3 linked regions of the Notamacropus eugenii genome follow. The protein of the gene in region 2 purifies or fractionates together with the protein of the main gene of each other region. This does not show direct contact. Links are inferred from orthologs where the notes say so. Each region holds a gene or a part of one and is shown on either strand. Other genes may lie near its edges.

Evidence for each region.
Region 1: the proteins of RAB5A (region 2) and RABGGTA purify together in Homo sapiens (affinity purification with mass spectrometry; 3 studies listed by BioGRID and IntAct, counting the BioPlex papers as one, with this or other methods). This does not show direct contact. The link is inferred for Notamacropus eugenii from reciprocal best matches to the Homo sapiens genes RAB5A and RABGGTA.
Region 3: the proteins of RAB5A (region 2) and GDI2 purify together in Homo sapiens (affinity purification with mass spectrometry; 3 studies listed by BioGRID and IntAct, counting the BioPlex papers as one, with this or other methods). This does not show direct contact. The link is inferred for Notamacropus eugenii from reciprocal best matches to the Homo sapiens genes RAB5A and GDI2.

Annotation. Positions count from the first base shown.
Region 1 is NC_092878.1:9,005,108-9,015,499, reverse strand, and holds the start of RABGGTA (geranylgeranyl transferase type-2 subunit alpha), read right to left. Parts: upstream 4,851-10,392; 5' UTR 4,715-4,850; intron 4,369-4,714; 5' UTR 4,314-4,368; coding exon of another isoform or gene 4,311-4,313; intron 4,174-4,310; 5' UTR 4,101-4,173; coding exon 3,918-4,100; intron 3,618-3,917; coding exon 3,493-3,617; intron 3,130-3,492; coding exon 2,942-3,129; intron 2,722-2,941; coding exon 2,518-2,721; intron 2,001-2,517; coding exon 1,917-2,000; intron 1,802-1,916; coding exon 1,719-1,801; intron 1,611-1,718; coding exon 1,509-1,610; intron 1,291-1,508; coding exon 1,191-1,290; intron 801-1,190; coding exon 749-800; intron 555-748; coding exon 466-554; intron 292-465; coding exon 203-291; intron 67-202; coding exon 1-66. UniProt on the Homo sapiens protein: Catalyzes the transfer of a geranylgeranyl moiety from geranylgeranyl diphosphate to both cysteines of Rab proteins with the C-terminal sequence -XXCC, -XCXC and -CCXX, such as RAB1A, RAB3A, RAB5A and RAB7A.
Region 2 is NC_092874.1:34,213,703-34,223,956, forward strand, and holds the start of RAB5A (ras-related protein Rab-5A), read right to left. Parts: upstream 4,491-10,254; 5' UTR 4,369-4,490; intron 3,754-4,368; 5' UTR 3,655-3,753; intron 1-3,654. Other genes in the region: EFHB (EF-hand domain-containing family member B), read left to right, coding at 4,665-5,444, 6,722-6,784, 9,757-9,897. UniProt on the Homo sapiens protein: The small GTPases Rab are key regulators of intracellular membrane trafficking, from the formation of transport vesicles to their fusion with membranes.
Region 3 is NC_092874.1:209,606,744-209,617,506, forward strand, and holds the start of GDI2 (rab GDP dissociation inhibitor beta), read right to left. Parts: upstream 4,192-10,763; 5' UTR 3,855-4,191; coding exon 3,810-3,854; intron 3,636-3,809; exon of another isoform or gene 3,006-3,635; intron 1-3,005. UniProt on the Homo sapiens protein: GDP-dissociation inhibitor preventing the GDP to GTP exchange of most Rab proteins. By keeping these small GTPases in their inactive GDP-bound form regulates intracellular membrane trafficking.

The sequences.
Region 1 (10,392 bases), on a different chromosome or scaffold from region 2:
GTGGTTCTCCATCAAGAACTTGCTTCGAAGATCATCCAAGTAAGAAGCTCGCATTGGGTCCGCTACCTTGCCAAAGGGATAGAGGGAGAAGGGTCAACTGACCACTCCCCCATTCCCTACCCTTCCTTGTGCTTCTTCAGGGCCCTAAATGAGCTCCAACGCTTAAGTCCCCCACTTTCTTTTCTTGTACTCTTCCACTTACCTTGAGGGTCTGAAAATATTTCAGAGTGTCCTTCTCATACACCAGCGGATCCAGAGCCCGCATCAGCAGGATGATAGTCAATAGACACCCTGAGAGTGAGGATGATGGTGGTGGAGGAGGGAGCAGGGCAGAGAGTCTATCCCTAGTTCCTCCTCCGTCTAACTCTTCCCACTGCCCAAGATCCATCCATCAGGAAAGGCAAGGTCTCCAGGAGAGGGAGCTCCCTGAAGGGGCAGGCTGTTGGGGGTAGAGAGGGACCTCACATTTGTTGTCTGGTTCCAGATCCTGCAGCTCCTTACAGGACTCCAGCTCCGACTGTAACACAGTTGACTTCTCCACTGATAGCTCCGTTCTGACAGACAGGCAGAGTAATGGAGGGATGAGGAACACATACCCACCTTTCCTCACCCTCCTGTACTCCAAGGTCTCAAGTATCCTAGGGAATGCCTGCCCCCAAGTTTTTAGTTTTTGCTCTGGTTCTCCAACCCCCCCCCCCCCCAACACACAAAACCCTCAGACATGATCCCTTTTTATCTCTTCCATCACCTGAAGAGTTGCTCATCTGTGGCAGAGTCTCGGCACCAACTTTCTTTTCGACCTAGAGAATAGATTAGGACAAGGGAAGGGAGTCTGTGAGAAGGAATTGAGAAATGAAAGAATCTGATGGGGGCAGGGTACATGGGGTCACACATTTATGAAAAACCTATTACAAGCAACGTAGTTTCCTAGAAGCTGAAAACACAAAGATGAAACAGAAGACAGCACAGTCCCTATCCTCAAGGCATTTACAATCTAACAGATACAGAGCAAGCAGTTAAGACATATACACGAATGAGGTAGACTGTAGTAAGGACAAATGAGAGTCAAATAAAATATTCTAGGGAAATCTGTAGGGAACGATTTTCAGGGAGAACATCCCTAAGAGGTTGGAGAAGTGGCAGTGAAGTGGCTGAAGAGAAGGGGGAGGGGCGAGGGAGAGCTCCATCACCTTTGTAAAGTACGCATTCCTTCTGGACATCACCCCACATCAGGAAGAAGGAATGCTGAGAGCACTGCTCGTTAAGGGAGTCAGATGGCAGGTCACACAGCTAGAATGAGCCAGGTCAAGGAAATGCTACAGAATTCATCCATTTTTCAGTCCCTCACTTCTCAACCTATCAAGCGGGGGAGGGGGACAGAGGTGTGTGTGTGTGTGTGTGTGTGTGTGTGTGTGTGTGTGTGTGTGTGTGTGTGTGTGTGTTTGTGTGTGTGTGTCTGTGTGTCTGTGTGTGTCTGTGTGTGTGTGTGTCTGTCTGGAAGGGGATACCCAGACATAGCTGGGCCGCTTTCTGCCATCTGGTGTCCTCCATTCCACAGGTAGGGGAGACTCATCCACTAAAAGCATCATAGTCTCTATGCCAGGACCCACCTGCGTGACAAAACACAAGGTAGAAAACACATAAGCCCCATCTCCACCCCACCCCCCAACCTTACTCCTTCTTTCCCCTCTTGTCTCATGTATGTCCTGAGAACTCACAATTATGGGCCGAGAGAAACAGACAGTCAAACAAGCCTCATTCCGGCTCACATGGAGGCAGCGAATGGCATCCTGAGGGTCAGCTGTGGGCAGGGGTAAAAGAACAATAGGTGAAGTAGTGGCATTCAGTTCCAGCTCGCTTCACCTGATGCCCAAACAGCTCAAAAGCTTCCCTGTGGCCTTGGCCCCACCTCTCACCTCGCCCCAGAAGCCATCTGTGGTAGAACCAGGCACTCTGGTCATTGGGATCTGTGAAGAAGGCATTCTGTACCAGCTCCAGCTCTCCGGGGATCATAAGAAAAGGAGGTTGTCATTAGGACTCAAGGGCCTCACTAACTCCACATGAAAGCTCTGCTGCCCCTCCTCTAGCTCATGGGAGGCAACAACCCCCCTCTCGCTCAAACTGGCCTTAGAGTCTGTCTGTACCACCATTCAACACTTAGATATACGTTGCTCTGAATTATTCAATACGGTTTCACATACTTGTCTCTTTAGTTAAATGGTAAACTCGGTAGTTTTTCTGTTTCTATATACTACCTACCCCCAATGCCCAGCACATTGCTAACCTTATAACAGGCATCTCAAAAATGACTGACTGACCTCACCTCAGAACTCCACTCTTTCCTGATTCTACAATTCCCAGAGCCCCCTAGGTTTCTATCTATCCTTCCCTGATAACTGTAACCTTTCTTAATTTCTGAACCAGAAAATGAATTAGAGGTTATATCTTGGGACCTACTATTCTTTATTTCTCCCTTCCTTCCATTTGATTCTTGCAGCCCCCAAACACCCTGCTCACCACGTAGTAGAACGTCTTCAGGAAGGCGTCCTGGTGGCTGAGAATCTGGCAGTGGCTGCAGCTTGGGCAGGAGGCAAGATCGGTAGTGCCAGGAGGAGTAGTTGGAAAAATTCCGAGTAATGAGGCTGTCAGTAAAAGCTAGCTCTTCTTCAGGTGGCACAGGTGCCTTTTGGGCCACAAACCGGCGGTAATCCCAGCAATGAACTGTGGATAGCAACGTATCTCAGATCCGGGGCTGATTGGGGGGCACCCCTACTCCTAGCTCCCAGAACTATCATCCGGGGTGCTACTTGGTCCTATGGGAACACATCACACACGCAGAAATCTACTCACTTGTCACTCTACCAACCAGCTCAGGAGTCCCATCCCAACTTTCTGGTTTGGGCTGGGGCCTAAGAAATCAGGTAATTTGTGGGGAACGTACAGTTACGTTCATCAGCTTCCAGAAACTTGGCGCACAGCTCCAGCTCACGGGTCCAGTTGGGTTCAGGGAGGCGGCCAAGTAGCCAACAGCGATGATGCCAGGTTCCATAAGACTTGGGGTTCACCCGTAAGCAGCTCTCCAAAAACTCAAGTTCCGCTGCCACTAGGGAGGCAAACTCCTCAGGGGACCTGTGCCAAAAAGGTGATAACAGTGAACCCTGGGTCTCCCCCTAAATCTCCCATGTAAGGCCATGCTGCTGGTACTGCCTGTCACCCCCAAACCCTGTTGTCCTCCACTCTACTCCACGAAGCCAGCACTGACATCCCTTTCTTTGGGGGTGGGGCAGACTGGCTCTCCTCGTCCTGCTCCCCAGTTCTGTCTGTAGGGAAGCTCTGGTCGGCTCCGCTTGGGTGTCATCGCTCTGGGCAGCCTGAGCACCACGCTGGGCCAGACTGGGGGTGCCTATCCAGACTCCCCAGTGTCAAAGATAACAGGCCCCCCCACCCTGGTCCCCCGAGCTGCCCAGCCTGCCCCCCCAGGAAGAAACGCACTTCTGGGTCTCCAGCAGCATCAGCACCTCCCTGCGGCAATTCCACAGGGTGGCAAAGTCGGGGTTCGCCCCCAGGATCTGGCTGGTCAGCTCCAAGATGGACTCATCCAGGTTGCCGTCCTGTCGCTGCAACCAAGGGGACAGCCCGTTGGGTGGTCCTGTCCTGGTGGCTCTTCAGCCCCCCAGGCCTCCCACTTTGATGCCTCCCTCTCGGATGGCCCCCCCCTCCGATGGCCCCCCCCACTCTCAGACAGCCCCCCCACTCTCCGATGGCCCCCTCACTCTCAGATGGCGCCCCACTCTGATTCACCCCCCCATTCTGGTGACCCCCCCACTCTCTGACGGCCCCTTCACTCTCAGATGACCCCCCCACTCTCTGATGATGCCCCCCCTTCTGACAGCCCCCCCCCGGGGCGGGGCCTCCACCTTCTGGAAGATGGCCTCGGTGGCCTCCTGGTACAGCCTCAGCTTGTGCTGGCGCTCCAGCCGCTTGGCCTCCGCCTGCTCCTCGGTGGTCTTCACCTTCAGGCGGCCGTGCTGCGGATAAACGAAGGGGGGCGATGGCGCGGCTACGATCCTGAAGCCTCCCGGATCCCCCGTGCCGTCCATGGTCACCTCCTAAGCGCCCGGGGCTGGAGGGGCCGGGGGGCTTCGGGCTTCCCCTCCGAGCTTCGCCTCCGAGCTTCGGCGGTAGGAACCGGAAGGGTTTGAAAGGTCAGGGGTCGGAGAGGAAAATTAGCGGAAAGGTCAAGGGTCAGGGGAAGGTCCATTGGAGAGAGGGAGGGGGAGAATGGGTGTGTGGGAGGGGGGAGGTCTCACCATGTTGCTGAGGCTCAGGGTTCTGGGTGGGGCGAAGAGTCAGGTGACCGAGGAAGACCTGGGTGCAAAAGGTGACAATCATCTGGCAGTTCCGCCCCATCGTCCCCGCACGCTCCTGGCCCCGGTCCGCCCCCTCCCCGGCCTTCCTGCCGGAAGTGGCTCAGGCCTGGAGGCAGGGACGCGGCTGGGTCAGACCTCTGCACAGCTGGGGGGGGGGGGCGAGGTGTGCCGCCGCCCCCGAGTCCCACCCGAGCCCGGCCCATCCCCGCTCCCCCCCCAGGGCTGGGTCACATGGACCAGTCCAGCAGCTGGCGCGCTCCGCAGGGCGAAGCCACCGCCGGCCCCGGGGGAGGGAGGCCCGCGGTCCTGCGGGGCTGGTGCATGGGCGAGACCAACTAACCCACCTGCGGGGCGTCCGGAGGGAGGCGCAGGAAACGCCTGGCGGCGGGAGCGGCGGCGGCGGCGGAGCGGGCCCGGGAGGTGCGCGCCTGCGAGGAGGGGCGGAGCGGCCGGCTAGGACGGCGCCCCTCCCCTTGGAGGCGGGCGGGGGACGGCTCTTAAAGGGCCAGGCCCGGCGGGCGGCCTGGGGCCTCGGAGCGCGCCGGCCGCTCCCCCTCCGCACCCCCACCGCGGGCGGCTGCACACCTAGTGCCGGGGCGGCGTGCCCGCCGAGGCCCCGGGCCGGTCCCCCCACTTTGGGATCAGTTTCGGCTGGAGGCGCGGACCCCACCCCCCGGAATCTTGGGGATGTTGGGCCGTCGGGCCTCAGTTTCTCCGTCTGTAAAATGAGGCGGGGGTAGCGCTTTCTGAGCCCCAAGTTTTACAGACCCGACCCTCACGCTCATTACCCCCGTTCACAGCCGGGGAAACTGAGTTAAGTGACCTGTCCGGGGTCACGCAGCTCGTCAGGGGTCCGCCCTGCGCGCCCCGGCCGGGTGACCGCCTCGGACCGCGGCCCGGCCGGACCCTTCCCCGCCCCTGGCTTCGCCTTCTTGGCGCGTCCAGGTTTGCGGCCGCTCCTCGGCGCAGCGGGGCCGGGAGACCCAGACACCAGGCGAGGGTGGCATGGCCGGAGGCTGGCACCGCGGTGGGCCGCAGCCGCCTTCTCTGCTGCCCCGGGCTGCCCCCAGGCCTCAGACACACGTGGGGGATGGGTCAGAAATGGGAGAGGGCTGTAAGGTGTGGGAAGGCCGTGGGAGCGTCAGTGTGAATGGCGCCCGTGGAGCGGGTTAGAGTCCGCGGAGCGCTCCATCGGCTCTTTGCAGCCCTGTGCCTGGGCCGGTGTCGTTATCCCCACCCTACAGACGAAGAAGCGCGTCCAGACGTGACGCAGGCGGGGTTAGGAGACAGCCCAGGTTTCCCGGCTCCGACACAAAGCATGCCACCGCTTGGCCCCGGACGTTTCCTCGGTCCGTGTCCCGTACCTGCCGTGCCCGCTCCTCCCCTTCACCTGCTGGCTTCCCTCGAGCCCCGCGCCAAGCCTTTGCCAGTCCTCTGTTTTATTGTAATTCCCCAAGATCAAACATCTGATACAGTTACACTCGCACAGTCCTGTGAAACCTCAGTCATTCAGCTGTTCCTTTGACTGCAACCAGCAGATACAGTAACTTGTTCCAGGCACCTGGAGAAGTCACGTTAATAACCACACCTACTTCGCTTTACAGTTTACAAAGCTCTTTATGTCCCTGGTGTCCTTTGCTCTCCACAGCAATCCTGGGACGTAGGTATTGCAAGAGTATGATACTCACTTAGCAGATAGGGAAACTGAGGCTCAGGGAAGTTACTTGACCTGCGCAAAGTCACCTTACAAGTAAGTGGTAAAGCAGGAACTTTCAAACCCACATCCTCTAACTTGAAACCCAGTTCTTTTGCTACTCCAGCCATCTTGACAGTTTGTCAACTACCTTGATACCCTACAAAATCAGCCACCCCTCACTTGGTGTCCTGGTGAATGGCTGCCTCTCCCAGATGATAATTTCAGGAAAGCCCCAACCGCGGTGCTTTGCTTTACTCCTTATACTTGGACCATCTCCTCTAAGCCTTTACAACTACTCTGTACTGTACCTTTCCTTTCCTCCCTGAGCCCTGTTTTCGAGTCTAGAACCATGAACCATAAATCAAATCAATTGTCCCTGAGTGGGGTATGTCACTTTATTCCCCTCTGAGTCTTGCCATCCTTGTCAACTTTCTGGAGCAAAGTGCCTTCTCTTGGCTGCTGCTCCCCTGCGTGCTGTTTTGCCCCTTAGAATGTAAACATCTTGAATACAGGATCTGTTTGCTTTTGTATCTGTATCCTCAATCCTTGGCATAGCGCTTGGTACATGAGAAGCACTTAATAAATACTTTTTCATTCATCCACTATAGTACTCCTATTTGAAAATACTCTTGTTTGCCCTAAGTGGAAAGAGATCAAACAAACTAGGTTCACACATGCTCACAACTATGCTTCTACAAAAGTACACGCTTAGAGTAATGAAGGAAGTTGAAAGAAAAAAGGATGTCAGATGTATGAATGGGACTGATTTTTTTTTTTTTGAATGATCAGCATTCCTGCAACTGGAAAGTTTTAGTCAGGGAAGACTCCAGAGAAAAGGTGAGTGTTGGAGAGAGGGTAGAGTTCGTTTTATCGTAAGGAAAGGATCAGTAGGAAGGGAATTTAAACCATGTTATGATTTGAAAGTGGGCGAAAGGAGACAAAAATAGATTGAACTGCTTATCTCTGAATCAGGTGTCCTGGGAAGCAGGAGGAGTGGAATCCATGACAGATCATTTGCTTAAAGGCAAAAGGAGTTAACAAGAATGATATTGTGGTGCATGAATCAACTGGGACCTAATGCTGGCTTCTAAGCAGTACAGTGATTAAAACTATGCTCAAACCTGATGAGTTCTGCCGGATATAGGAAGAAAAGGGAGAGAGATAAAGGATGCACTGAGGCCCATTAGGAAACCGAGGAGATTCCATGGAAGAGGGCTATGCTGCAGTTATGGCCAGTGTGAGCACAGATGTGGGTTAAGTGTAAAGAGAAATTAGCTGTAGGCCTCTGATTACAATCATAGGATTTGAAGCTGGAAGGGACGTTAGAGTCATTTCTTCAGGCCCAGGATCACCCAGGTTAGTAAGCTGTGGAGCTAGGATCCAAACTGAGATCCTGTGCCCTGCAGCCCCGGCCAGAGTTCTTTCTACTCCTCCAATATTTCAAGGACCCAGTAGCTTCATTGGGTGCAGGTCCTACTTCCTCTGACATAGATCACAACCCCTCTCTGACTTGAGTAGATCTTCATGAGTTTCTGTGGCTGAAAAACTCACTGCTCTGCTGTTAGCTTGGTGAGGAGCCCCTCCCCTTGAACCAAAGACCCAAACTCCATCTCTAGGCCAATTCTACAGGCCTTTTCCATTTAGTTGTGTTTGTCCTTCATTGCCAAAGAAGACCATGCCATCAGAAAAATGATGACATGACTTGCACTTGGCTTTGATCTGAGTGAGGGAGGGCTGTTCAGGTCACCAGCCTCACTTCTCCTCCAGAGCCATCTGAATCCAGTGACCAGATATTCATCAGGATGACTGGAGATGACCCAGGATGCACTGGGAGACCTTGGCCCATTTAGGGCAAGTTCTATGCAGGTATTCACTTCGGGTGAGGCAATGCCCATTCATTGGATAGGCCTGTTTAAGTAGCCAGGGTATGGCCCCTTTAATGAGGCAAAGAGAAAGAAATACATCAGGAAAATTTCACAAAGAGGATGGTCTTCAGTATTAGACAGCAGACAAAAGCAGTGGCTCTTAGAGCTGAAGCCACAGAGCTACAGACTGCTCGCTAGAGTTTGAAATGTTCTCCCACTTCATCAGGCCTCACAGCCTACCCCATCATAGGATTTACCCGTATAAGACAGATAAACACAGCACACAGGAGGGCTGCTAGCTCAGGTTCACTCTTGATCAGGTCAGACAAGAAAGGCACTAAGAATGGATTAATAATCTACTTTATTCTAGTCTAGTTTTCCCAGAAAAGGATCACTGATAATTAGAGCATGAACTCCTACAGATTATGATGGGATGCTTGGGTGCATGTGCTTGGGCCCCAATTCTAAAATCCCATTTCTCTTTAAAAATCACGTTTCTCCCTAACCTCAAAATACTATCCCAGGCAGTTTCTCCCCAGCCCAAGGACACAGCCTGCTCCAGCAACAACTGTTATCTCGCTTCCTGCAACAGTAGCCAGCTGTACCTATAGAATTCATTAGTCTGAGCCAGCTGTGTACTGGCTGAACAGGATGTGCACTGGGTCATAACGACATTTACTACTCACTGACCAGTCATGTGTATCCTGGACTTAGACATACGGATACTCCCTTACATTTAACTTGTCTAACAAGACATTGATGAGAGCAACCTGGTATTTCTGAGCCAGCCCTGACTGTTGGTTGACTTAGTGATGCTTCAGGCCTAAAACCACACCTCTAGGTAGCCCCCCTGGGCTATTTCTTGATGAGTTTTGGGTAAAATACCTGCGCAGTAGATACCAAAAGTGCATGTTCTTTAAAAACTGACCATTCCTTAATCCCACCCCAAAACACCTAGTTAGCATATTTGGCACATTTCCTAAATATAAACTTTCTCTGTACCCCTTTAAGGCTGCAGATTCCTTAAGAACTCTTGCCAGCTGAAAAGCTTAGTAAATCTTTACCTTGACCTCAACAATGCTTGAGTCCATGAATTCTTCTCCAGACAACCTCCTTCTGGTACCCCGGTCTTTGTGGGGGTCTCACACACCCCCTTCCAGCCTTCATCAATTTCTTAATCCCCCTTCTCGAAGGGGCCAGGGAGAAGCAGAGGAGGCAATTATCCTTATATCTTGGTGGGGGCAATTGAGACAGGCACAACTCGTGCTTCCCCTAAATCCCTTCAAGCCTCAATGGGGGCCAGTTGAGGCACACACAGCATTTGTGCATTTAACCCTAAGGGTTCCCCCTTCATTGTCTGGTGACCACCTGTTTTATGGGCCAACAGACATAGCCTCACAACTTTATATCACCTCATTCCTGTATCTCACTGTGCAGCCTTAGTGAAGGTTTAGATTATTTACCATTATATAACTCTGGGCAAGTGTGGTGGAGATATTTTGAACCATAACTGTGAGAACTAATGTCTAGTACCTGGGAACAGGAGATTGTTATGATTATGGATCCTGGGAAACTGAACTCTGAGAAATAATAATAAAAATTTCCTTTAACACATATTAAAATCCACCTTATTTGAACTAAAATTCACCTTACATACACCCTGTAACAGAGTTTCCTCCCCAACAGATCCCATACCTGCACAGTATCAGGCAGCCCCTTCCACTTATGGACAACATTCCATTTTTAGAAAGTTCTTTTTTCTCTTGAGCTGCTTATTGACTGTCCTATAACCTAGGATCATAAGGATCTCAGGTTTTGAAATGACCTTAAGCTTAGAGTCATGGACATAGAGATGAAAGGGCCCTTAGAATTCACTTAGCCCTAGTCATCTCATTTACAGGTGAGGAAATAGACTTTCAGAGGTGAAATAACTTGCTCATGTTCATATAGATAGTAAGTGGCAGAGCCAGAATTCAAACTCGGGTCCCCTGACTCCAACTTAGCCATCTTTAGGTCTGTTACATGAACACTCTCAGTACATCCCTGGTAAGTATTCATCCAGCCTTTGTCTAAAGTCTTCCACTGATGGAACTCACTCCACCCAATGCATCCCATTTCACTTTGGTACAATTCTAATAGGTAAGAAGTTCTTTCCTTACCTGAAATTTCCCTGTCCCTTAATAGTTTCCACCCATTGGTTCTAGATCTGGCCTCTGAAGCTATGTAAAACACATTTAATCTTTATTCCATGTGATTATAATAACTAGCATTTATATAGGGGTTTAAGGTTTGCTGTAATATTTACAGATATCTCATAAGATCCTCACAACCTTGGGAGATAGGTGCTGTTATAATCCCCACCGAACAGATGAGGAAGGATAAATGACTTGCAGATTGTTAACATGCCTAAGTAAATGTCTGAGATGGAGCTTGAACTCATCTTCCGGACTCCATGTCTCAG
Region 2 (10,254 bases):
ATGATTCTGCTTATATATTGCTTTTCACATGGCTCCTCTGATTTCAACTTCCTTTCTATAGATAGCTTATTAAATTTGACACCTTTTCCTCTTTGCAAAGCTGTTCTCATGAATAGATTTTAGGGAGAACATGAATGAGGGGGAGAAATGACATCTGTATTTATGCTAACCTCTACCTCAAATTTTAAAAAATTAATTTCCTTTGATTATTTAAAACCATTATTTGAGATGGTGTCCACAGGCTTCACTGGTCAGCCAAAGAAATCCATGATGCAAAAAGGCTTAGACCACCTGAAATAGGAAATTATTGCAATATTCCAGGCTTCTTGTAATGAAAGGATGAACTTGTTATGAGAGAGTTAGAGGTGGAATGGTGGAGAGAATCTTACTGGCAAGCATGTCTTCTAAAGATTAATGATGTGCCTCTACAGGGATTGTAAATCAGCAGTACTGAGGCAATGGTTTATCATTCTGAGCACAACAATAAAAAGTTCTGCTGTGTTTCCAGGGCATGTGTCTTAGATATGACCAAGAAATTCTCAAGGTCAGAAACCTGTCTGCAGGGGTAAGGAGGATACCAGCGCACCCCAGGGAAATATTACCATTGGCCCTTGTCCTGGACTACAGGCAGTATATGTCAGGGGCAGAATTTGAACCCAGGTTCCACTGACTTTGAGAATAGCTCTCTGTTCAAAGCTTCTCAGCTTAATCACAGCTTAAAATATACAAAGGACAATCACAGTGCACTTAGAGCTGGTAAAAATGTTAATTGCCTAATGTCTTTCAAGTCTAATGAAAAGGTCTTCAAACTGAAAAAGAAGGTAAAGGAAGAAAACAACTTAGATATATCCCCAAATTAGATATTGTATATAGCTATGACACAGCAAGATTAGAACTAAAGATAGCCCAAAATTCATACAAGATAAAACAACAAAAGCAATAGCCATAAATATCTGTAGAAAAGTATGTAAAATAAGGTGAATTAGAACTTATAATACAAGGAGGCAAATTTGACATCATAGTAATCATTGAATTGGTGGAATGAGACCCTTGACTGAAATATGTCTCTGAATGGATATATACCTTATTCAAAAGGAAACAGGTAAGATTGAATAGGTAATGGGCTGGGGGAAGAGTAATACTGTATAGTATGAAGCTATATTCACTTTTACTTTCTGTGGACTCATTCCCTAATGGCTAACATACTTTCAGTGTCTCCTACTCTCTCCATCTCTATGTTGAACCCCTGGTTACTGAAGAACAAACCCTACCGCTTAACATCACCTGCCTTATCCCTCATTCCCATCCCCTTCAACTCTACATCCCAATATCCCTTCCAGATTTGACCACCCCTTCATTTTTCCTCTCTGGTATATCTATCTGGTCCATAATGCTTTCATCTTAAATCCCCCACTTTCATATTAAAGTTCTCAGGTCCTTAATCAAGTGAACTTCCATGATGTGTTCTTACATTTCACCTCAGCATTGGAGTGCTCATACCTTTGATCTTATCATCCATAAGTCTTCTACTTCCATGTTCAAGAACTCTGAATGTGCTTTATCTGATGATAATTTTTTATCTTTCTATCTCTTCCTATCCCTTATTTTCATCTTAAAATCTATATATCTTCTATTCTGAACTTAACAAACTGTAAATAAAATGGGCAATTCCATATAGAAGAAGAGAAAGAGGAACGTATGTCAGTCTTCAAATGTGTTATATACAACTTTCCTCTCTTTTTTAATAATTAATTTAACATGTTACTTTTAAAGCTATCCTGCAGCTATGTGATTCTGTCTTCTTTTGTACATTCAGAAGTGCTTCAGTGACCTTTTCTCTTTTGGGGGGTGAAAGGGAAGATGCTATCCTATCCCTAGTCTCTTACTCCCTTCCACCCAACCCCAAACTGGAAAAAAAAAAAAAGAGAAATAAAAGCCTTGTAACAAAATTTGCAGTCAACCAAAACACATCCCCACATTGGCCTTGTCCAATTTGTCATCCTGAATCTTGAATCCCTCACCTCTCTATCAGGAAGTGGGTAATGCGTTTCATCTTAGGTCCTCTGAAGGTTGGTCATTGCATTGGCCGTAGTTCGTTTTTTAAAATTGTTTTTCTTTGCAGTGTTGTTGTTTTTGTATAAATTGTAATACTGGTTCCACTTACTTCACTCTGAATCATGCCCATCTTCCAGGTTTCTCAGAAAATGTCCCTTTCATCATTTCTTATGGTGCTATTTCACTACATTCACATATCATAATTTGTCTGGTTATTCCCTAGTTGATGGGTCCTCCCTTTGTTCCCAGTTTTTTGATATAACTAAAGAAGCTGCTATAATTATTTTTGCATATATGGATCATTTTCATCTTTCTTTGATCCCTTTGGATTATAGATCTAGTAGTAGTGTTGGTTTTCAAACTCATTTTTCCTCTCTTGGTTTTCTTCTTACCTGTTTGACTGTTAGTTCTCAGTCTTTTGATGGATTTTAATCTATGTCACTCACACTAACTGTGGGTGTGTCACAAATCTCTGTTCTCCATTGTTTTTCTCTCCATAGTCTTTTGTTGTTGGTCTCATCTATTTCCATGGGTTTAATTATCTCCAAGCAGATGATTCCCAGATCTCCTGAGCTCCAGTTCTGCATCACCAACACTTTGTTGGACATTTCAAATGGGATATACACCTTCCTTCCTTCCTTCCTTCCTTCCTTCCTTCCTTCCTTCCTTCCTTCCTTCCTCCCTCCCTTCCTCCCTCCCTCTCTCTTTCTCTCTTCCTTTAATTTTTTTTTACAATAGCTTTCTACTTGGTCTCCTTTCCTTAAGTCTCTCTTCATTCCAAACTCTTTGCACCTGCTAAAGGGATTTTCCTAAAACATAGATCTGACCACATCACCTTCTAATCATTAGACTCCAGTAGCTTACTGTCATCTCCCAGAATTAAATATTATAAAGTCCTTTGTTTGGCATTTAAAGCTTTTATGACCTGGCACCTTCCCACTTTTTCAGTCTTAAGCACTGTAATGAACTCTGCAACTCATATTTACTGATGCACATGCTGTTACTCAAACACAAGACATTCCATGTTCATTCTTCCCACTTTTGTCCTTGCTGTTCCCCATGCCTTCCTGCCCTGGTATGCCCTCCCTCCCTCCCTTTGACTCTTAGAATCCCTGGCTGCAATTAAGACTCAAGTCAAATTCCACTTCTTTAGGAGTCCTAGCAGCCCCAGCTGCTTGTGCCTTCATCTCTAATGGGCACTTCACCTATTCTCTGTGTGTCTTATATGTAGGTAGTCATTTATATAGTCTCTCCCATTAAAATATAAGTTTCTTGAGAGCAGGAACTGTTTTTGCTTTTTCTTTGTAACTTTTTAGCACTTAGCACAATGCCTAGCACATGGTAATAAATGTTCATTGGCGTGATGGGGACAATTTCTGGGCAAAGATAAAGTGAGGTAGAAGTAATTCTATCATAGGAATATATCACAGACCATCTGAAAAGAATGAGGGAAAAGACAAGGCCTTTAGGGAGTATTAGATGGCTGACATGGAGGTATGACATGTAGTGATGGAAGACTTCAGTTATCTAGACATCTACCAGAACTTTCTGCCCACAGCAGAACATCTAAGCATGCCTTCTAAGCATTTTCTACCTTACCTTTTCATTACAATATGACAATTTCAAACCAGGTCTTCAGACTCCAAATATGGTACCTTTTTCATGGGTGGGAAGCTTGTTCTTTCAGGTCTGGAATCCCTAATGCAAAGGAAATGTATACTAGCTTTATAAAAATGTAGATGCAAATTTAGCATCCTATCCTGTGATTTCTCCCCTCCCATACTGGAAAAGGTGAAGAACTAACCTTCACCAATAAGGAAAACTGATTGTTGGAATGTAATAGAACTGGAGAAGAGATCTGGGTATAGTCTGACATATACCTTAGATTCTGGGAAAGCAGATTTCAATGAGTTCAGGTGAGTTTAGCTGGGAGAGATGGGAAGTTCTCAAAAATGAAATTCTGGAGATATAAACAATTCCAATTAAGAGAAAAAAGAAGGGTTGCTTAAAAAGCTATGCTCCTAAGTGACACCTTTACTCTCTCTAATAGAATCAAAACTATCTGTAACAGGTAGTGAATTGTAGTGCATAAAAGCACTACCCTCGGAAGTCAGGAAGACCTGGTTTTAAATCTAATCTTAGACACTTACTAGCCGTATGATCCTGCTTGCAAGTCACTTAACCACTTTGTGCCTCACTTTCCTCATCTGTAAAATAAAGGGGTTGGGCTTCACTGCCCAAAAATGTCCCTTCCAGTTCTACAGCTTTGATTCAATAGCCCCATATGTTAGATAAGTCATAAGGTGTCGGCACCTTTCCAAGCTCTGTCTCCTTCAGAGGAGAGAAACAGGAACTCAGAGACATCCTGTCCCTGCAGCCGGCAGCCGGCGGGGAGCAGGTAGGTAACTTGCTCCCTTTCCTCTCGAAACCAAAACCTCACAATGGGTCCAGAGCGAGGGGAGAAAGGAGACCTGGCCCGAGGGGGCGGGGCACCCCACGGCCCTCCCCCGTTCCCTAGGTAACCAGTTTAAACAGTTACTCTCCCTTAGTCTCTGGGTCATTTGGTGCGGCCCAGGATTGGAGGGGAGTCCAGACCTGAGACTGCGATCATGGTGCCCCCATCAGACTCCGCGGAGACAGGGAGCCCCCGGGAGAAGGAGGTCTCCGAGGTCTTGAATACCCCCCCGGGAAAAAGGCCGGTTCTCAGCCCAGGGCAAGGCTGCCTCATGGGCTCCGTTAATACCCCGCGGTTGATGTCACTGAAGCTCTCACCTCCTTTGGGCCCCAAGGCCCACCCTATACCGTCTTCGAAATGCTGCGTGGAGGGGCGTAACTGGCCGTACTTGGATAAAGGCGGGGGGCAGTACCGGGAGCTGCACTCTGCGGGGCTTCGCTGCCCCAACCGCCCCAGCCTCCTGGGGGACATGCTGCCCTCAGCGGAGACAGATGCTGCCCTGGGCATGAAGAGTGGTTTGGGATTATCAACCCGGCCCCCCACGGCCAGGTACAGCGAGAGGGACCCGGAGGATCTGCGGAAAATGCGGGAGAAGCTGGCCGCGCAAGCCCCATTCTGTCCGCAGCCCAACATGGGCTTAGTGAACGAGCTCGCAGAGAAAATCTTTTGCCCCGAGAATTTGGGAGCCCCCGAGGAGGAGGAGCCCTTGGGCAGCCCGGAGACTGGACTGCCCAGTAGGGTGATGTGTAACCTGGAGCCCGAGAGCAGGGACCCCATAGGGTTGGTGATAGAGCCGCCAACTTACGACTTCGGGACCAAGCCCGAAGGAGCTCCCCAGCTTCCAAAGGATTTGGAACCCGGAGTGGAGCAGCCAGATAAGCCGAGACCCATTTATTTTGGGAAATTTATTGACCGTAATCCTGCCTTGCCATGTGTGAGTTCTGAGTCCTCTTTCACACCTATACTTTTCTAACTCACTCCTTCCCCTTACCTTTCTCTGGGACCAGTGGTGTACTTAATATGACAACTAAATTAGAACACTGGCTTCCGATTGCGGTTTATGGACACCAGTTATTATTTTGTAGAAACTTTCTATGTTACTCCTTTGCCCCCACATTGGATCTCTGTTTCCTTGGATGCTAACATGATCCATGATTTCCTTAGTAGGGTATAGTCTCTTCGCTGTTGCAGATATCAACCTCTCTATTTCATTTTTGCCCATGTCCTCTCATAATCTCTCCAGGAAGGAGTTACTGGGTGTGTTAGAGTCTTTTCTTTCATCTATGAACCTTTTGAAAGCACTAGCACAACACTTAGGTTCTTTCTGCTATCCCTGACTCTGACTACATGAAGAATCTGCCTCTTCCAATCACATATTTCTTTTGATGATATGCTTTATTAAAGCTCCATAATACACCTTTTGAATGTTGTCTTTCTACTGATCACCCATTTTTGAATGTCTTTGTTCTCCTTAAAATACCCACTAAAGGCTTTTCTCTCTCCAATTCACCCTATTGGATATTTACTTTCCCACTCCTCATTTTCTCAGCATTTTCTCCCCATGTTTCTGAGCTGCCTTTCCCCCATGTCATGCTAATGTTCTCCCTTTTTTTTTCCAGCCCCACTGGTGTGTAGTAGGACATATTTAAGTCTAACCAAAGGAAAAATAGTGTTCACATTGTTAGAGCTCTGGCTCTAGAATCCTGCAGTAGCGTTTGGGTTCAAATACCATCTCTAATGCTCACCTCCTTCATGACCTTGGTCAAGTTCCTAAACCTCCCTGGGCTTCCCTTTTCTCATCTGTAAGGTGAGGAGGTTGAACTCCATGGTCCCTTCCAGTTCTATGGTCCTAAAGCAAAAATCCATTCTGGACCCAAGAAAGTGATTGAAGAGATTCTACTTTTCCATTCATTGTTTATTTTGAGATTGAAGAGATTCTACTTTTCCATTCATTGTTTATTTTGAGATTATTATTAGTGACATTATAGTCTCCTTTTCAGGGGATATGATATGACTTGATTCTATGAAGATATACTAGTATATATGTGTATGTATACATTTGTTTCATTTTATTTTTTACTTTACTTGGGATTGTAATTCACTTGAAAACACAGGCCCAGGCCAAGTTCCAAAGTCACTTTCATCCCTAACTGTGCTGATCCTTTTAGTTTTCATCTCTTACTTTTTTACCTTTTTTTTTTTCTTCTTTAGGCAGGGAAGCTTATTCCAGTTGGAGACAGAGCTGAAACCTGTTTAACTGAAAAATGGCCTCCAGTGAGTATTGTCAATAGATACTTGCTTATTTCTTTGCCTTAGATAGGACCTTCAAGACAATTTAGTTAACTCTTTGTATTCTCCCTTAAGCTTATATAAAATGGGTATTGGAAATATTTAGAGGCTTTCCTCTTCTAACAGTTTGGTGAGAGGTGAAAGTGATATGAGGCTTCCAAATATACTAGAATTCAAGGTGTAATGGGAAAAAGCACTGGAGGGAGGCCTGCATTCTAGTTCTGGCACAAACTACTTAACCTTTTAGGACTTAAATTGATTTATCTACCAAATAAAAGGATGGAATTAAGTAGGGGTGGGGAACCTGCAGCCTCGAGGCCACATATAGCCTTCTGAGTCCTCAAGTATGACCCTATGACTCAATCCAAAGGGTCATACCTGAGGACCTATATTTGTTCTGTGAAGTTTGGATTCAGTCAAAGGGTCACACTTGAGGACCTAGAGGGCCACATGTGACCTCCAGTCCACAGAATCTCTACCCCTGGATTAGAGCGTTGTTAAATTCCTACCCAAATCCAAACTACTGTAAGCCAATGACCTATAGTGGCAGTCCCAGTGTAATGGAAAGAGAAGGAAGATGGAAGAGAAAAAGCATTTTATTAAGTACCTAGGAACAGTGTTAAGTGCTTTACAAATATTAGTCAAAAGACCTCATAGGGATCAAGTCTGACTCTTGAGGCCTCTAACTGTATTATGTTGGGCTAGTCATAATTTATCTGACCTTCACTTAAAAAATGCAAATTATAATGTTTTCAATACCATCTCAAGGGACTATAATCCAGAAAGCTGGATACTAATGCCAGCTCTTGATAGTAACCATTACTAAGTAAATTCATGCCAGCTAGAAGAAATCTAATAGTATTTTGTCCTTTGAGATGCTAGTGCCTTTTGAATATTGATTTTCTAAATGCTGCTAATATAATTTGTTTACATGAGAGGTAAAGGGGAGACAAATTGTTAATTGATTTTCAGTAGGATTTTTCAGATGAACTACAACTGATTAGTTCTGTTTGTAGAAGTTAGCAAGGAACACTAAGAAACCACACAGATTCTGGAATCAGAGGACCTGAGTTCAAATCCTGCTTCCAATGGTTACTGCCTGAGTGACTAGACAAATCACCATTCTCTGGGCCTCAGTTTAATCCTTTGGAAGATGAGGGGATTGAGCTAGCTGTGCTCTGAGGTTCCTTCCTGATGGGAATATGTGATCTCATGAGTTCATGATTTCAATAATTGCATTACAAATTTTTTTTTTTTTTTGGTAATGTGACACTACGGATAGAGAGCTGGCCTTGGCTTTAGGTATATTTGGTTTCATGTCTTGCCTCTGACACATACTGATGGTAATCTCCACTTGAAACCTTGACTTGCATATCTGTATGTTCTTGTATTTTTCACTCTCTTGATCATATGCCTCTCACTGCAAAAAGAGGGGCTTGTATTACATGGCCTTTAAGCTCCTATGTTTGATACTTAACAGAAAAAGTTAACACTAAAAATAATTAATTCTATAACTTTTTCTCATAAACAGATTACATACACGTATTATACATAGTATGTATACTATATATAGTATAAGCTCTAAATATATAGTATATATGAACTATAAATATATAGCGTATACTCATACAGACTGTAATATACAATGTTTTGTTCTGGACTTCATTGTGTTTAAGTAGACTCAAAGGGAGTGCAATAGTAAATTAATATTATTGTTAAAAAGCTGTGTTGATGCCTTTTGTTTTCAAACCATTTTCCTCCATCATCCTTGTCTCCCTGTCACAAATTAAAACACCTAACCAAAATCATTTTTGGAAAGATGATAAGTAGTTCTATTTCTGTCGAGTTTGCTGTATAGGTTTGAATTCTAGTAGAGACTTAGATCAGAGCAGTCAGAGATGTGGGGCTGCAGCTTGGGAAAGGCTTGCCTTAGGAAGTGGCAGAGAAAGAAGTGGCCCAGGAGGACGTAATTAGAGAGCAGGTATGGTCAGAGAGTTAGGGGAAGAATCTGGCTAATGTAGATCTAGGCAGCCAAGCAAAGAGAGAGTTTTCTGTTTAGTTCAGACAACATTTAGTTCAAACAACCAACTATGTTGAGGACATTGAACAAGGCTAGGAAATAGGAAATGGGAAATAATGGGAAGAAATACCTGATCTGGAGTCAGAAGGCCTCATGTTTATGCCTTGGTTCTGGGTTTTACTGTTTTTGTGAGATTGGGCACTGAACTTTGCCAAGCCTCAATTTCATCACCTGTGAAATGGAACTAACCATATTTGTATTAAACTATAAGTTGTGGAACAGTTCTGAATAGCAATTGGTTAAGGGGATTTCCTCACCAGGGAATTCCCAAACCAATAAAATCATTTGGCCAGTTAAAAAAAATGTACTCCTTACCTCATAAGGTCACTGTAAAAAAAGTATTTTGTAAATCTTTAAAGTGATTAGTAGGAATGATTTTAGAAGCCAGGATCCTTGCCTCATAGAGCTTACTGCTTCAAGGAGAAGGATGTGATCAATGGTTTCATACTTCAGGTCAAGGGAGATGATGAGAGGAGAAAGTTGTTGGATTTGGCCAGTTGGACACCCCTTGACAATCTTACAGACTTGAGAGAGTTTTAATACAACAGTGGTTTTAAAGACTAAGAAGTGAGATGACTGATGAAAAGGTGAGATAGCTGGCATATTCTGCAATTCTTTCAAGGGATTTTGTGGCAAAACAATAATGGGAGAAAGTCAAAGGGTACAGGATGCCATTAGGTTTCTTTTTAGGCTAGAAGGGACCTGAGCATGTTTGTAGATAAAGAGAGAGGATCCACTGAAGGAAAAGAGATGGAAGAATCAACCAAAACTTTTGTTTATGGTTATACACAGACACTAGAGTTACAGAGTTCTATTATTATGAACTATGAGTTTACAGTTTTTTTCATTATAATAATTCTCTTTCTCTCTCTCTCAGCCTTTGACTCCACCCACTGAGAGAAAATTTTATAAATCCAGATATCCAGATACTGGTACTAAGAGGATATTTTATGGCAGAGCAAATGATCCTGATGTTTCTCATTTGACACATGGTAAAAAAAGGGATAAGTCAATGAAGGTACTTTTCTTTCCTGTTAATTCTCAACTTTTGAAGTGGAAAATATAGAAATAATGGATCTATGAAATTCAGGCACTGGTTTTAAACCTTTCCACTTGTCCTACTTCTATAATGATGTTTTCCATTCATCCTCTGAAAAAGATATTAATCTTGAGCAGTAAAAAAGTCCCAAAGTAAACAGATAAGGAATTATAGAGAAATGTGTTAAAATTCATCCAAAGACTCGACACCTCACCCACAGATATATAGGCTGCATATATTGAGTTTCCTCCCAGGAAATATAAATGATTCCCTCAGACTTTGGTGAAGGAGAAAAAGGAGACATAACTTTGGAAACATCTATTTTTTTTCCCCAGG
Region 3 (10,763 bases), about 180 Mb from region 2:
TTTGACTTATTAATAATGTTAAAATAATGTTAAAAATGACCAAACAAGGGACCTCATAAGTCGCGTAAGTCTAACACCTACCCAAATCATAAATCCAGCTTTATAACATTCCAACATCTCCAATGACAGGAATATAAAGATAGAGATGGGAAGTGGACTTGTGATTTCACTGGTAAAGGTTAACTTCTTTCTAGGTGAGGAAATTTCCTCTACCAATGCAGGCTGGCACTGTCTCTGAACTTACAGCCTAAAAGAGCTGCCTAGAGCCCTGAGAGGCTGAGTTACTTGCCAGGGGTCACACAGCCATTCAGTGTGAAAGGCAGAAGCCAGGTCTTCTTGACTTTGAAGAATGCTCTCTCTCCATTTCACCATGCTATGAGAATAGCAAAGCATTCTAATTTTAGGTAACTTTCATCATTAGGATTTTTATGTTTAGGACTAAGCAGAACAAGCCTAATGTCTTTTATCTATATGAATATCTTTAAATATTTAAAGATTTCTAACACATATAAGCCCTAAATCTTTTCTTCAGACTAAACACTCCCAACCTAGAGCCTTTCACAGCCTGACTCCAACCTACTTTTCCAGTCTTATAATACATTGCTCTCCTTCAAACACACTATGGTTAAACCTGATTATCTTGATATTCTTCAAACAAGACACCCCATTTTGGTGCCATGAACAAGCTTTCCTCCATGCCTAGATTGTACTTTCCTCATCTCTAGTTCTTAGAATTCTGAGTTTTGTTCAAAGCTCTGCTCAAATATCACCTTCAATGTCTTTCCCCAATTCCCCTAGCTCCTAACATCTAGCACAGGGGTGGGGAACCTACAACCTTGAAGCCACATGTGAAACCTTGAAGCCCTCAAGTATGGCCTTTTGACAGAATCCAAACTTCAGATTCAAGTCAAAGGGCTGTAGTTGAGGATCTAGACTTGGATCCAAAGGGCCACACTTGAGGACTAAGAGGGCCACATGTGGCTCCCAGGCTGCAGGTTGCCACCCCTGCGCTAGCACTTCCCTAAATTACCTTCTATTTATTTTGCATGACCTTATATATGTGTGTTGTACCTATTATCTCCTCCTATAAAATGTAAGGGGCAGCTAAATGAGGCATAGCTGACAGTCAAGAAAACTCATTTCCTGAGTTCAAATATGGCCTCAGACACTTATTGGCTGTGTGACCCTGGGCAAGTCACTTAACCCTGTTTCCTTCAGTTTCCTCATTTGTGTAATGAGCTGGAAAAGGAAATGACAAACCATTCCATTATCTTTGCCAAGAAAACCCCAAATGGGGGTCACAAAAAGTTAGACACAACTAAAAATGACTGAACAACAATAAAATGTAAACTCCTTGAAGTGAGCACAATATATTTAATTTTTATCTTTGTAGTTCCAGACTCTTAATACAAAAGATGCATCTCAGGCATTTTCATATTCCTATTTGAAGATCATATTAACCCTGTGAGGTAAAAATTACAGGTATAATTTTTACAGTTTACAGAGAACACTGGAACTCAGTGAACTGCTTGATGGTGACACAACTTGTAAATGTCAGTCAGGATTCAAAACCAAATCTCTCCTGACTCCAAATCCAAAGCATTTTCCAAATCTAATTACCCTCACACTAAAAGTAAATGACTTTAGTCTGGCATGTTTTTTGATGAACCCATGCTGACTCTTGCCTACCCTTTTAAGTGAAAAACACTGAAAATCCACAACCACAGAGCAAAATAAAGGTTTGTGCAAGAAACTAAGTCCAAAATGATGGACTTAGTACTATGCACTTGCTACCTGATCTAACCCACCACAACTGTGTACAAGTTTGCTTTCTTTAAAGGTCTGGTCGTTTCCCAATATACCACACAGAGATTCAACTCAATCTCTAAAATTCAAAAATCATTAAAAAGATTTTTCCGATAAATAATTTCATAATTGGTACCCCTTTTTTCAATCCCCATGATAGCTACAGTTTGCAACTTTAGTTTGTCTGATCCACTGTGATGGAGAGGAATACAAATACAAAAAATCAATATAAATATTAAAGTGATAGACTGAAAAACAATACATTAATTTTTAGTAACTATTTTGTAAATGGTTAACCAATCAAATGAAAACTGAAAATTGTCCTTTTAACATCAATCAAAAGTGATTAATACTGGTATATGAGTATGTCTTCTAGAGGATACCCGAAAACCAAAATACATTCAAATATTGCTTACTGATTATAAAACAAAAGCGAGGTTCAAATCAATTCCACTCTGTCCTCCAACACTGCTTTTCTTATGAATACTAATTTGTTCATCCAGTCAACAAATATTTATTTAGCTTAAAATAAACTGTAAAATGATATGTAACAGAGAGAATTTATTTACTTTTTCTGTATTTTTTTTTTTTTTGCTGAGTTAAGTTACCCCAAAGTATGAACAATTAGGAAATTCAATAAAATAGGCCAAGGTCACAGAAAAGCCTTTTATTGATATCTTTCTATTGTAGCATTCATGGGATCCTAATTATCCAACTTAAAATGTTTTTAAAAAGAGCCATAATCTTTTGAGAAAAATATGCAATAATGGGAATGCTAAAATATGAAGTATATTCAACTCTGGTGGGAAAAAAGACAACATAGGAGTCCTTAAAGGACGTACCTAAAAGCACATTTTTGTCCCCTTCCTCCACACAAACCATTTAAATTAGGCAAAGCCATTCATGGAGTAAAGAAAGCACTCACATAGACATATACTGATTTTTCTTCTAAGTCCCCTAAGAAGCTGTCATGGGGTTATCTGTGCCTTTTACTATTCATTAACCCACATCTTAGTAGAAAAGAGAAAAGACCAAATAGAAGAAAACGAGAAAAAAAAAATCAACAGCAAGTCTTTCTCATTTCTCGCCTGTAAACGTGCAGTAAGAAAGGCATCCCCAAAACACCAGAGTGAGAAGGGGGGCAACTAGATTCTGCCAAACCCCACAAACTCGGCGCAGCATTTTGGCCCCCATTAGACCTTTTCAGAATTCGCTGACCATCGCTTCTCACATCATGCAGTGCCCTTTGCCTGCTCACTGCTGCAGGGGAGTGAATTTTAGTCACTGAAGGAACCATTTCCACCCTGCCTCCCGTCCGGAGAGGTCATCAACCCAAAGGGGGAAAAAGTCACAAGAGGCTTGGAATTCAGTTTAGTTACAATTATTCGAGTCTCCTCTCCTTTGCAGGAAGCAGGCCGTTTAATTCCAGACCTCTTCCTCCGCTTCACTGATTTAAACCATTTCCTGGACCCTCCTACAAAAGGGGCAGGGGAGGCTGCCACGAGGACGTGGGGACACGGTCACTTATGCTCCTCTGAGCGTCCTCGTCCCCAACTGCCGAAAACCTTAAGTGTCCGGGGCAGCCTTTCCCAAAAGCTCATCATCTGAAGGAAAAAGCTGCCAGATCCAAGAGCTCCGCGATCACAGGACAAGCAGCCCCCTCCAGGGGTCCTTCAATACGGAAGGACAGAGACGCCAATCAAACCGTAGCTCCGGGTACGTGTGCGCGTGTCGGATCCAACGGCGCCGACACGGCCAAATAAATAAAAGCAGGAAGCTGGAGGAAGCGGGCGTTAGAAGGCGCGGCGGGGGCCGCGGTCCGCGGGCCCGAGCCGCACCACGCGCGCTCCCGACAGGGGAGCCCCTCTCCCTCCCTGCCCCCCTCGCTGCTCACGCCCTCCGGGAGCGAAGCCTCCTCCCCTCCCCCGCTGCGGGCGGTCACGGCCTGCCCCCACCCCCAGCGGGCCAACCTCCTCCCCTCCCCTCCCCCTCCCCGTCCTCACCGTGAGGCCGGTGCCCAGCACGATCACGTCGTACTCCTCATTCATGGCGGGAGTCAGAGGATGAAAGGGGAAGAGAGAAAAAAAAAAGGGGAGGCGGGTCAAGAGCTAGAAAGGGAGAAAAAACAAGCCAAAAGCAGCGAGTAGCGAAGCCCCACGCGCCGTCCGGCGAGCGCAGAAAGAAGATATAAAATGGAGCACGGAGGAGGAGAAACCGCCCACTGCCACAGAGGAGAGAAGAGGAGCGAGGGCTGCGGGAAGAGTAAGCAGGAGGAGCCTAGCAGGAAAGGGGGCGGGGCGGCCGCTGCAGCCTAGGGGGCGGACTCTGGAGGAGAGAGCGGCTCCTGGTTGCTGTCAATCACGGGCCTTCCGCTTCTCTTGCCGCGCTCTCATTGGCTGAGCCGGGCTCGTTCGTTACTGTACTTCCCTTTTCACTCCACGCGAGAGGGAGGCGGCACCGGGCGAGGCTTGAGCTCCTCCTTTTCCGAATCTCTTCCTCTCTCCATACTCCCGCCCTCCCCGTTTCAAGCTCTGCTTGCTGGAGGGATTAGCGTGGTGGGTGTGGGAAAAGGCGGAGATGGCCCGCCAGTGGGCCGGGGCCTGACGCTTGGTTTAGCGCCCGGGCCCTCAGGGACAGGGCGGGGCAGCGCTGCGCTGGCATCTGGCAGCGGCCCCAATGGTCTGGCTGTGGCCCCTGCAGCGGCTGCTCGCCCTTGGACTCTGAGCTCCCCTTTGTTTCTAAGTCCCCTCTTGGACTCGGGGGGAGGGGAGGAAAGGATGCACCGGGTGATGGGGACAAACCTGGCAACTGTGACCTTGGGAGGATTGCTTCGTTCTCCTTTTTTTTAAATGAAAGGTTTGACTCGGAGGATAGCTGCCAGTGCAGCGTGATGGAAGGCAATAGGGCGCTGGAGGAGCCGGTGAAGTGGACAGATTGGGCAGCAGACTGCAGCCCAGGATCCTCGGTTCTGTTATGTGACTCCCTCCCTGCTTCAAAGTGCAAAGTCCCTTACTCTGCCTGTCCCAGGAAGAGTAGGAGAAACAGCAAATGTGCATTTCAAAGGAAAAATTTTTTAAATCTTTTGTAAAAAAGGCAGCGGGTCTCATATAAAAACAGGCTCTTCAGTTTAAATTGATATAATCTAGAATGATTTTCTATAAAAATAAGCAGTTGTAGTAGAGTAGGCAACTCTGCAGTTTAAAAGAAATTTAACATCCTCTACTTGCCTTTGGGGTTTTTTTTTTTTTAATTTGGTTTTCATGGCAGACTTTCCCTCTTGCAAGAAGTATCTGCATAGGCAGAGAAATTCTCAATTTACAGACCTACGAAGCTATAAAGTGATGTTGGAAGAAGCTGATGGAACTAATGGAATCAGAAGAGTGACTTTCTGAAAACTTACCTTGGATAATTTGGTTGCCGACTGGTCCATGACAAATTTTTGTGTTTTACTCTCAACTGGGTCCTCACTATGGCAATGCAATCAATTTTTTTTACATTTTCCTATTGGTTTCACTATCCCACTCACCATTATAGCTTTTCCAGACGTTTTCTTCCCGTCTCAAACTTCCCATCTTCCCCTAGACTCTCAACTGAAAACCTAGCTTCATATTTTGAAGAAAAAGTTGAGGCCATTTACTGTGAGCGTCTCTCTTCTGTCTTCTTCATATCACTCAGATGCTTTCTGCCACAAACTCCCCTTCCGACCTGTCCCACCGGAAGACTTACCAAGGCAAATGCCTTTACCTGCATAAGCAATCCAGTTCCATCTCCAACATGGTGCCCCACCCTAACCCTACCCGTCCAGTTATTTTCAGTCTCTCCCTGTCTACTGGCAGTTTTCCAGCTGCTTGCCCATATCTTCCTCATCCTCAAAAAACCCTCATTTGAGCTAACCATACCAGTTAGCCAACATCCTATATTTCTTCTCCTTTTTGTGACTAAACTCCTTGAAGAAGCCATTTATAATCAGTCCTTTAATTCTTTTCCTTTGAATTTCTTTTTAATTCTGCAATCCGGTTTTTTACCAGAATCAGTTTTTGAACTGACACTGCTGTCTCCAAGAGTACCACTAATCTCTTAATTTCCAGGTTTAACGACCTTTTCTCAAACCTTCTTGCCTCTGCAGCTTCTGAGACTATTGATGACCCACTTCATCTTAATACTCTCTTCTTTCTAGGTTTTCCTTATAGTGTTCTTTCCTGGATCTCTTCTTTCCTATGTCATAGCTCCTACTCAATTTCCTTTGCTGCATCTTCACTCAGGTCATGCCCACTAACTATGAATATCTCTCTCAAAACCTCTGTTTTGGGGCCAAGAAGATTTCCTCTAAACTGCTTCTCTTGGTGATCTCATCAGTTCCCATATCATCTCTCTACAGATAATTCTCAGAGATATTTATCCAGCCCTGATGTCTCTCCTGACCTCCTGTCTTATATCTCCAATTGCCCTTTGGATATCTCAAATTCTGTGGGTTTCTTAGACATTTTAAACTCAACATGTCCAAAAATGAACTCCATCTGTCCCCGCAAAATTCTCTTAATTTCCCCGTTACTGTCAAAGATACCACTATCCTCCCAGTTATTCAAGCTTGAATTCTTGACTCCTTACTCTCTGGCTGATGTTACTGCCCAGGGGAACTTCTGTGTTTTGGAATAACTACCTCACCTAAGTGGTCTTCAGCCTATACCCACCTGAAATCATTATCCCTCATAGACAATCTTAGGGCAAGGAGTTTGTTCCTGCCAACCAGTATCTCCATTATCATGCACTTGACTGCCCAGGTCAGATGTCTGACCACCCAGAAATCATGCTCGTGATGAATTAATACCATTCTAGGAAGGGGAAGATCCCTCTATTCCAGTGGTTTCCTGCATCTAGTCTCCAGAGATTTACCTGATAAGAATGGACTGCTTTTGGACATAGTTCTAGCTGTCCTTCTGCTTTCTTGCCCAGCACAAAGTGGCATGAGTCTTGTGGTCCTTGCCCTGTCAGAGGGCTCTGAATGTCCTGGAGAAATAGCTTAGGTCCCTCTCAACAGGACAGCTAGGTGGTACAGTGGATAGAGTGCCAGACCTGGAGTCAGGAAGACTCATCTCCCTGAGTTCAAATTTGGCCTCAGATACTGTGTGACGTTGGGCAAGTCACATGTTTGCCTCAGTTTCCTTATTTATAAAATGAGCTGGAAAAGGAAATGACAAACCATTATCTTTGCCGAGAAAACCTAAATGGGGTCACAGAGTTGGAGACAATTCAAACAACTGAACAACAACTTCCCTCCCGACTGGTAGATATTCTTTCCTCTGGGGTGCTTTTGACAACACCTAAGGGGAAAAGTAGGTGGTATTGCTGAAAGGTGCCTTGCTATATATCTGACAGGACAAAGTTGTCCCTTATAACAGTTTTGCCTCAGTTTCCCTGACATGACTTCTGGATCATTTGGGGCATAAAAAGTCCCACCCATTTGAAGTCTGAGACTCTTAGACTTGGTGAGTGCCTAAGATCTTGCAAGTCACTAAACCCTGGACAGATGGTATACTGAACAGACTCATTTCCAGATGAAGACAAAAGGAAAGTGCAAGAAGCTGTGTCATTTCTTCCTTGTTGCATGTTCTTGCTCTGTTAATTCTTTGTTAAATGTTCAGTGACTTAGGATGCCTCATTTCATCCCAACACTGGACCTGCACCACCAGCAGGTCCACTAGCTGCACCTACAATAGTGAATGTATATTTACTTGGAGGAAAGGAATTTTTTATCATCTACAAAAAGGATGTTTGCATCCCCAGCACTTAGTACAGTGCCTGGCACTGGTAGGTACTTAATAAATGTGTATTGACTATCTTCTACCTCATGCTTTTCACACCTGATCTCCAGCCGCAGGTGAGAAGAGGAATGACCTCCCTCTGACCACATCTTCCATCTAATGCTGGCCAGGCCTGATTTCCAGGCTTAGATTCCTAGGGGCTATCTGGAGGAGACTTCCATTTGCACCAGCACAAGGTAACTTCTACCTTCTGCTCCACCTGTTAGCCTGTTCACCCACCTCCCTTCATATGTGAAGAAGAGAACGCTTCCCCCTGACCTCAGGTCTTCCATCTCCTGCTGTGCCTCTCTACTGAGGAAAGAGGAAGAGGAAAATTTCATTTGCTGGATCTTCATCCAGATCACGTCCTCGAGCAGTATGTGTCCCACTGTACTATGGGGCTCCATCCTGGGCTCTCTTATACTGTTGTAGTATTTCAGTTGGTGATCTCATCAGATCCCATGAATTTAATTATCTTTATGCTAATAATTCTCAAATCTATTTATCTAGCCTTAACCTCTCTGGTGATCTCCATTCTATCTCCTGTCTTTCAGACATCTCATACTAGATACCTAGTAGACGTCTTAAGCTAAACATGTCCAAAACTAAACCCATTATCTTTCTCCCAAACCCTTCCCTTTTCTTAACTTCCCTATTACTATAGAAGATAACACCATTTTCCCAATCCCCTAGGCTTACAACCTAGGTATCATTCTTGAGTCCTCACTACTTCTCACCCTCTAAATCCAATTGGTTGCCACGGCCAGTCAATTTCACATTTGCAGCATCTCTCAAATATATGCCCCCTTTTCCAGTGCAGGCCCTCATCACTTCACACCTGGATTATTGCAATAACTTTGTGGTAGATTTACCTGCCTCAAGTCTCTTCTCACTTCATTTCATCCTCCAGTCACCAAAGTGGTTTTCCTAAAGCACAGGTTCAATCAACCATGTCACTCCTCAACTCAAATTCTAGTGGCTTCCTAGGATAAAATATGAAATTCTCTGGTATTCAAAGCCATTCATAACCTAGCATAGCTCTCCTTCTCCGCATCCCCCCCTCCCTAATTTCTTATCTCTGGCCATTTTCTCTGACTGTTCCCCATGCCTGGAATGCTTCCCCTCCTCATGTTCACCTCCTGGAATTTTCAAATTCCCCTGGCTTTCTTCAAATCTTAACTAGAATCCTACCTTCTAAAAGAAGTCTTTCCCACCCCTTCTAAATTCCAATGCTTTCTGTAATGCCTATTTATCCTATTTATATAGCTTACTTGTATATAGATTTTGAGTTCCTTGAGGGAAAGAACTGTCCTTTTGCTTCTTTTTGTATTCCCAGTTCTTACCACAGTACCTGGCACCCAGCAGACACTTAATAAATGTTTATTGACTAATTAACTGACTGACGGATCTTAATGTGGTTCCCAGGAAGGGGGAGTTTTTAGCATGTGTGCCAGGGAATATTGAGTTAGGTGGGCGGTGCTATGGGGGAAAGTCTGGGTATCAAGCTAGTCCTGGACAGGTTTTATGAGAGAAGTTTATTATCTCTTAATCACTTTCTATGGATAACTGACATGTGATGAAGAATTATTAGCTATGCCAGAAGCGTCATCATCAGTGCTGTGTCCCTGATGTTCTTATCATTCTCACACATCATTACAATGGGAGAAGAGTCTGTGTGTGACTGTATTGGAAGTTTCATCATCTGTCCCATGTTCCTAATGGTATTGTTTCTAGTCATCAGCTGCAACATGTGACTCACAGTGAACTGCAAATGTTTGGAATTACCCAGATCTTTGAGATCTGAGATTTGGTCCTTCTGAAGTGAATAGGGAAAGTCAAAGATTTCTTGCATTTTTTTTTCTTTTTCTCTATGGTAACTTTTGTGGGGGGGAGGGGTGATGGGGGGAGGGAGAGGCATTAATTTCTTTTGTTATTGTTCTGTGTGTTTTGTTTTGACTTTAAAAAATTTTTCTTTTTCTTTCTTTTTTCTTCCTCTTCCTCCTCTTAGTACTACTCCTATTTTTTCATTAAAAGCACAAAAAGCATTCAAATGGTAGAAGGACCTCTAGAACAGAGGTGTCAAACATGCAGTCCACAGGCTTCATGCAGTCCAGAACACTCCCAAGTGGGGTCCAAACCAGATTAAAATGTAATTGAGAAATATTTAACAAAAATATATAAAAATACAATAAAACATATATAATATTGCAGTTTAAAACTGAGTTGATTTTCAGCCCACAGGTTTAGTGACCCCTGTTTCTATTTGAGCTTAACACCATTACTCTAGAAAAGGGCTTCTTAAATGTTTTCCACTCATGACCTGAGAAATTTTTATGTGACATATAGGTATATAAAATAAGATACACTTACTGATCACATCAAACATTTCTGACAAACATTTATTTGATAATAAATCATAAAAAATTTATTTTAAAACAATTCTTTGCAAAACATATAATTTTACTATTTATTAAAGATGAACAAATTTGCATACTAATGGGATGATGTGCTTGTTTGTTTTTACATAAATAATTAAATTTTTGCAGAATATTTGATACTGCAGGAGGTAGAGCATTTTCAACATTTTTCAGAGTTGATGGATATTTTTGATTTTATAATCCTCAGTGCTGAGAATGCTACTTCACATAAATACATAATACAAAATAGCAAAAGCATGTTTAGGACCATTTTAGAAATTGTTAGAGATTTTGTCGTAATCCCAAACCAAAATTCATTCAATGATTTTTTTGAGAGAACTCAAGTTTTAAACCTGTGGCCACTTGGTAACTCAGTAAATTCTTCTTGAACTTTCAGTGGCAGATGACTTACATTTTTATTTCATTTGAGTACAGTTTATGAACTCAACTTAGTTTTTTAAAGTCACAGTTTGAAGGGAAGTATTTCAAAACTGTGTCTCTAGACATTTCAGATGATCAGTTATAACTCACAATTAAATCTTTGGAAAAGTTATTTTTGATTATATAATCGTCTGTAGTTGTAAACATTTCTAAAGAACTATTTTCCACCCTATTCTTTCAAATGTTAACTTTTTTAGTAAAATTTTCAATTTTATCTTTTGACAGAAATATGTTACAATTCTTTCTTTGAAGCAACATGGTTAAATCATTTGAGTTTTTAAAAATGTCTGACAACACA